2 linked regions of the Arabidopsis thaliana genome follow. The protein of the gene in region 1 interacts with the protein of each later gene in a pairwise test. Each region holds a gene or a part of one and is shown on either strand. Other genes may lie near its edges.

The links.
Region 2: the proteins of LRL1 (region 1) and AT1G49830 interact in a two-hybrid assay, tested with the Arabidopsis thaliana proteins (one large-scale study listed by BioGRID).

What each region holds. Positions count from the first base shown.
Region 1 is NC_003071.7:10,320,633-10,324,567, forward strand, and holds the start of LRL1 (LJRHL1-like 1), read right to left. Parts: upstream 1,792-3,935; 5' UTR 1,546-1,791; coding exon 1,255-1,545; intron 1,226-1,254; exon of another isoform or gene 1,190-1,225; coding exon 1,019-1,189; intron 875-1,018; coding exon 809-874; intron 267-808; coding exon 201-266; intron 1-200.
Region 2 is NC_003070.9:18,444,659-18,448,593, reverse strand, and holds AT1G49830 (basic helix-loop-helix (bHLH) DNA-binding superfamily protein), read left to right. Parts: upstream 1-1,821; 5' UTR 1,822-1,934; coding exon 1,935-2,204; intron 2,205-2,394; coding exon 2,395-2,496; intron 2,497-2,594; coding exon 2,595-2,660; intron 2,661-2,959; coding exon 2,960-3,061; intron 3,062-3,243; exon of another isoform or gene 3,244-3,270; coding exon 3,271-3,483; downstream 3,484-3,935. Other genes in the region: MTK (S-methyl-5-thioribose kinase), read right to left, coding at 3,687-3,855.

The sequences.
Region 1 (3,935 bases):
TAAAGATTGTACTAATATGTCAGCTTTTCTTTTTGTTTAATATGTCAAACTAAAAGGCAAAAAAACGAATCTTCCATCTATATTGAAGAGAATAAAATAAAACAAATTGCACTCTGTAAAAGAATTACCCCTTGTACGTATGAAAAACAAACTTAATAAAATAATAACTGTAAATATATGAGAGAGAGGGAGAGATTCACCTTGACTTGGAGTTGTAAAAACTTGACATAATCTATGATCTCATCGAGCATCGATGCCTTGTCTGTCTGTCCATTATTATACAAATAAAATACAAAAACAAAACTGTCAGAACTGAGATCCTAACTCATTTATTACTGCATTAGTTAACTTTATTATTGTAGCCTAATTAATTAATTAGCTAATCAGTGTTTAATCATTTGATTGATATATACTACTAGCTACTCCTATATATAGATAGACTACACAACCACCAATTATATGAGTAAAACAAAAAATATAAATTTACTTGTTAACTCCTGAAAGTTCTAGTTGACAGCCTAAAACTATCTCTTGAACAACTAGCTCCAAGAAAGTTCCTGATCATTTCGACACTTATTTTCATTATTTATTTTGTATTTTTTCAATTTTAGGTCTAGAAGATGAGAACTATAAATAGACGATGGAGTTTAAATTGTAAATTAGATGGAATTATGGATCGCACGAATCAAGAGTGGATGATGAATAAAATGATGGAAAGTGAAGTTTATTTTCATAATGATCCATTTAATATTTTAACTAATCTTAATTTTTGGAAACTAAACTGAAAATGAATTGAATAAAAATTTACCTTATTGCCGTTAGGAACGAGTTCTTGAAGAGCTTTCATTCTTTCCGCAATTCTCTCTCTTCGTAACTGTCCCATAAAAACATTTTTTCCAGAAAATACTCAAATCTTTTCTTCAAAAAGCTAAAAAAAATTCAATTTCGACACCTTTCTCGGTAACTGATACAAATTAATGCATCGAACAAAGTAAAATAAAAAACAAAAACAACTAACCCTTTCGGCGATACTATGAGGATCAGTTGCTTGACCTCTCCTAGCTCGGATTTTAGTCCTACTCTGCGGCGGAGCCGCCACCGTACCACCAGTAGCTGTAGACGCGCTCGCCTGAGGTTGCGTTTGCGTTTGCGTTTGTCCTTGTTGGTTCATCAATCCTCCTCCCGATCCCTATATTTCACCATAAGTCTCGTTTTCAAGAAGAGAAAAACTTAGAAAAGAGAAAGAGATTATACCTGAGGGATTTGAAAGTTAGGAAGAGATCCGGCGACGGAGAAGCCATTATAAAGAGCGTGGACGGAGGAGCCATCATTCAAAGGCATCATCATGATCGGCTGATTCCTTGAGTCGACATCGTGGCCGTGGAAGCCATCGGAGGGAAGAGGATGAGCATCATCGACGACGGAGGGCCACGGGGCCGAGGAAAAGATTTGATCGAGGAAGTCTTCGTGGTCGAAAGTTGTTGATGGAGTTTGGATATGGGAAGAAGATGAAGAAGAAGGAGTTAGAAGAGAAGAGTTCATCATGATGATGATGGGTTTCTTCTGCTTCTACACTTTTTTTTGGGAAGAGGTTGAAAAATGTTGAGGTTTATAGCTTTATTATAAAGCAGAATTGTTGTAGTCTTGTAGATATATTATTTTAATTTTAGGTTTTAATTATCATTTTTGGTGATATATTATTAAAACCTTAAAAGAACTTTTGTTTTTCTATTGTGGTTAGCAACCCATATTATATCGTGATGATGAATCGATGATTATCATCTTTTGTTTCGTTTCCGTCTTAAACTTTGGTTTCTCTTTACCCCAAATCTTAATCATTATTTTTTACAGCTTAATACGTATGAAAATAAGTCTTTTTTTAATGTACATATTGCTATCTAAAGAGTTTTATTTGATTATACTTTTTCAGATGCAAACTAGTTTTATTTTACTATACAAATATATATTAAACATTGATGGATAAGAAGTTTATTTATATGGTGCTAAGTGTAATAGCTAGCTTTTGTATACAATTATAGTTTTCTTAGATAACATTTATTGTTTAGCAATTTTATTATTTTTGTGTTTTCATGTAGTTTAATGATTTGTTTTGTTGTTGTAAAATAAATGTTGTTTTCATTTTTCTATACAAAAATTAAATATATTTAATATTTTTGATCAATTATATTTTGTTACATATTTTTTATTAATTAAATTAGGTGTAATTAATAATGTTTTTATAGAAAGGAAATAATTTAAATGAGATTTTTGTGTTTTGTTAATATGTGTAAAAAATCTTATATAAATATTATACTGTATATGGGTGATGATGGCATGCCCGTGATTATTAGTGCCTTTCTTACGTTTCAATTGTGGCTTCTAAAAATTTTACATGGACCAAGGAGTTACCTAATTAGTCCCACCAAAAACCAAATACAAGGAGGATATCCTTGTCCAATCCTAGATCTGATCGATTAAATAGAGGCTTGGATATTCACTCAAAAGGTTTTCCTAAGAAGTTGATTAACCATTTGGGTGGAATTCAAAATGTTCGAGCCATTTAGCCGGATAAACGTGAATTTATCCGAACCATACCAAAATCAAAAATACTTACTTACCCATTGAAAAATCCATTCGACCTAACGACGTTAACCTATTTTTTTTCTTTTCAGAGAGTACATCATTTTAAGGAGAATGATGAAACCAAACGACCCTTTGGATCGATGGAATTCAAGAGATGTACATTGGAGCTACCCAAAATGGTCTCGGACCACCTAAGTGTTACCCAATGATTAATCTAGCTACTTGACTATCTACAGATATACCTTAACTTCAAAATTCACTGGAAAACCAACCATTTTAATGAGAATGATCAAAAAATATTGGCTTTGGATTAAAGTAATTTAGGAGATGGTTAAAAGAGCACAGCCGCTGGTCGTTTACCCATATCTATGACCAGTTTCCAACCCATTTACTTCTAGCCCGACCAAAAACACTTGTAGTCCATCTTGGTAAGCTAATTAGTTTTACATGGTACTGCAAATTTGTTCACACACACATGGTGCATTTGTTCAACTCATATATACGAATGTTAAATAAGTTTTAAAATTGTAAATAAGTTTCTCATTATATAAAAATTTAGAATTTTCCGCAATTGATCATTAACTGAATTATGTATAGTACAAAATTACTCATAAAATGAAACATATTATATATTTATTAATACAATCCGAGAATGAAATATTACATTCATGTTTTAATAATCTTTTCACGATGATAATTGACAATGGTCTAAAATTATAAACTCGAGCAGGTACATTCATCAATGATGCTAGAGCTCTCGAAATTCTACTGTTTTTTTCTATGCCCCCAAGATCACAAACATCCTATCCCAAAGACGATACTCGTAAATTAATAATTACAAAATATGATAATAACTTTTTAAAATGAAATTCCCTATCAATATGATAACTTATCTTTTGAGCTAATCACGTACGACGTGGAGCTTTTTCTTTATAAATAGATAGTTATTATTCTTCTTTTTTTTTATTTTTATATGTAGCTGAAAATTTGGTATTTCTTTAGATTGTGCCACATTCACCATATACTCTTTTTGGGATAAATAATAACATTAAAATATTTGCAAACTTAATTTTTGTGTCCGGATGTTTGACACTTCTTCATTTGGATTCATTAACTAATACATTTAAGGTTTCGAGGTCTGTATTTTGTAGTCAGAAATATTGTTTTCCTCTTTTCCATTAATTGCTAACATGAACACATTTTAATGAAACAAAATCTCTCTATTCATTATATTTTTTTTATATAATTGCATTTTTTCACAATAAAGTTTTCTAATAATAAAATAAATCATAATAAATGCTTACGGGAGTTACGTCTCATTATCATAAAATATTTTTTGATTTCTTGTTAAA
Region 2 (3,935 bases), on another chromosome or scaffold:
AGAGAACTTAAAGACACGACTGATGTAATCGTATACAAGGATCAAAGTAAATAATTGTGACTAGAACTCGAAATATTAAGCATGAAAATTTTTGAGATCTCTAACCATAAGAAAGCATCAATTGAAATAAGCAATGTGAAGAACTTACCAGGTTAAGGAAATTATGAGCAAGGCATCTTACGGAGGGACAATTCCTATACACAAAGCTATTAGGATTCATGTACTCATCAATGTCTCTGACTCAAAAAATATTTCGACGTTACCGTGACGGTTCTATTTACAAAACTCTGATTCCCTGTTAGGTGGTCCCTCTTCAAAGCTAAGAGAATGTGTAAACACACAACACAAACACAAGTTTCTTTTGGCAAATCAAGTCTAATTCCTTCTCATAACTTGGCAGTCTTTAAGTACACAAAGTAAAGCAAAGGGGATCGACAACTAATCCTAAAAACAAAGAACATTATTAACAAAGTGGGAATATGGAAACGTGGAGCTTGATCTCCTAAATCTAAGTAACGCACTTATCAATTCTTCTATTCTTTTTGACCATTTCTTCTGTGGTTCAATCATGGTTAAGCACTTATCATTCACCAAAAACATCTGCTTCATATATCCACGTTACCTGCAATGATAAAATGGGTTTGATTCCTTGATAACTCCAAAAAGATGCAAAGAAGATAATGATTCTGAATTTTTGATACAACACTGGTACAAAGCAACTTCAACTGAGATAAGAGACCCCGAAAAGTGACAAACCCCATCTCCGATTTGGTTCACAGTCCTCTCCGATTAAGTTCACCAAACTAGTCGACGTTGAGCACCGTCGGTTGAGATGATGAGCACGATGGATAAGAGACAAATTCCGTCGATAATCTCTTCCAATTTGATGATATAAACGCGTGATGATGATGATCACCAATCGCTCAATCGCCACCGGAGTTAACAAGAGAAGAGAAGAGAGGAAAATCGATTTGAAAAACAAAACACGGCAAAAGAAAAAAAAAAGTTTTGTCAAAAAAACACAACCAATGATTAGTTGCCACGTATGCGCACCTTAACAACTGAAAAAACTCTAAAATTAGGTGCGATCCCAAGTTTAAATCACATTTTAGATTTATTTTTTTCCAAAATTACTTAAGGATTTATGTTAAAAACTGTTAAGGATCTCCCAATGGACTTGCTCTTAATGTAAAGATTGATACGAAAACAGGCCATACACACTGATTTGGTTCAGCCTGAAGCAGTCAAAGTTATGGATGGTTATTTACTTATTTTGGTTAATTTACCATAGCAATGAAACAGACACAGTGACGACTTGTATCCTAAGCCTTTTAAGTGTCCAAAAATGAAACTAAACTTGTGGACTACTCAACTCTGTCAACCCTCCTAAATTTAGCGTGGTCTTGCAGCTGTACGTACCTCACTCTTCTTCGCGCATGTCAAACATCTTTGTCTTTTTTATTTTTGTAAAAATAATTTTTCAGTTTTCACACTTTTTTATTATTATTTTAAATGAAAAAAATAGTATGTTTTTTAATTCAAAATGTGAGAGTTTTACATCAATGTGAGTTTCTCGAGCTTTTCTATTGGGATTTTAATATCTTTATCCGTAAACATTTTGTGTTTGATTAGTTTGTTTTACAAAATTCATCATTTCGAGTAAATAGAAACCAACAGTTTTCTTGGGCCAAGTTGCCTTACCATTTTTCTGATTTCTCCTTTACCAACTTATCCCATTGATGTAATATCATAGTTAACTATTGTTGCTACTTGCTATAACTGAAATTATGCAATTTTTCATCTTCTTTTTTTACTATTAAAATACATTTATTGATACTATTCTTTTCTGGTTTCTCACCTTTTCACTTGTTTTCTTCTTTCTCTGTCAATTCCACAAACAAGCCTAAGCAAGAAAAAGAAAAAAAAACTCTACGATGAGAGGCACAACGGACGAAGAAGACGGTGTCATGAACTTCTCTGATGTTCTTATGATGTCTGATGATGTCCTTAGCTCCGGTGAAGTAGAAGAAGACAGCTTTGGTTTCAGATTCACCGGAAACGATGCTCCTCAAATGCTCTGTTTCGGCGGAGGAAACCAAAACGACACCGATCTGCTCTTCTCACAACCCTCTTTCTCTCCCGCTTCCCCTCTCTCTTCACGCAATAACGCCTGTGTGGTCAATGATCAATCTTTTAGATCCAATGTAAGTTATATATATGTAAAACATTCCTACAGTTAATATTATTTGAAATTTTAGCCAAGCTTTAAGGTCATTAAGTAAAGTGACAAGATCATTAAAAAGTATATGCATCAGTGCATGCAACAAGTCAAACACAAGATCATTATAATGTATAATTTTTATTTTGTTTAATGTTTGTCTCTTTGTTTTGAAGAAGAAAACCGGGTCGGCTGATGGGCACGACCGGGTTTGCGATCCAAAACCCGGTAAGAGATGCAAGCGAGATCAGAAGAAGTCATCGCTTGGAAATGCTAAGGTTTGGCTTTAAAAGTGTGTATATTTATGTATACTTATCTAATGGATCAGCTATTTGGGTGAATAATAGTAATTAACAAATGCTATTCATAAAAATAGGTCAAGAAAGAAAAGGTTGGTGAAAAAATCACAACATTGCAGCACTTGGTTTCTCCATATGGCAAGGTGGATCAATATACTAAAACAAGTTACCTTCTCTCTTTGTTTTTGGTTCATATATCTCTTATCAACATAATACTGAACTAAAATCAAAACCCTGAATCTAGGTGATTAAATTTTGATGTAAACTTGAAACTTTTACTATAGTTACGTCATTTGGTATTAGCTTGAAACCTTTACTTGTAGAGAGATATTCACGGACTATATTTTACTGTTTTGGAGGTACATTATGTGTTTTGGTAATTAAAATTAGTTTACTTTCTACATTTTAACTAAGAAAAATGTAATTTGGAAAATTTGAATAGACAGATGCAGCATCAGTGTTGCATGAAACAATGGGTTACATAAAATTCTTACAAGACCAAGTTCAAGTTCTTTCAACCCCTTACTTCAAACATAACCCTCTTGTAAGTCATCCATCATCCTTTTGTATTATCTTATTTCATTTTTTTGTTACACTTTTTTCTTGGTATCCTCTTTTTTTGTTACACTCTATGTCTTTATCAATAAAACCGGAAGATATTTATTTTTCCATGATTCGAAACGACTGTTTTAAGACTTAAAAGATTACTATTTTGACGGTGTTGTGACTGATGAATAGTTGATGTGTCGTCAGGACGACGAAGACACCGGAGAAGTAAACCCGACGATGAAAGTGAAAGAGTTGAGAAGCAATGGTTTATGTCTTGTTCCACTAGCTTGGACCGTACACGTGGCGAATACTAACGGTGCTGATTTATGGTCCTCTGCCATCTTGTCACCACTCACCAGTCACACCAACAGTGAACCAGTAGAGATTGTGGAAGTCAAATCTCATAAAGATAAGTAGATAATCTTCAAAAGTGAAAATATTTCTAAACTTTTATTATTATTATTGTAACAAAATGCATTTGAATACCATCATCACCACCACAAACCACTAAATTACAAATCCATGTGATAAGCAGCATTGTGATACTTTTCTTGCCAATTAACTCCCAAGATCAAAACAAGACTTTCAAGAACTTCAGCAGAAGAACATTATAAATTGTCTTAGCTTTGTTGTTGAATTGCTGAAACAACTTCACCGATACTCTTAAACTTTCTCCTTTCCTTGAGAAGCATCTTCGCAAACTCGAGTGCACTTCTCTCGCAAATAGCTCTTCGCTTATCTTCTTCGATTGATTCAAAGTCCTCAACATGTGCCACTCCCACAATTCTCCTGCCATATCATCAAACCAACACTGTCAACAACGTTTCTGAGTTTATATGATCGACAAAGAAATCTCATGGACTAAGATT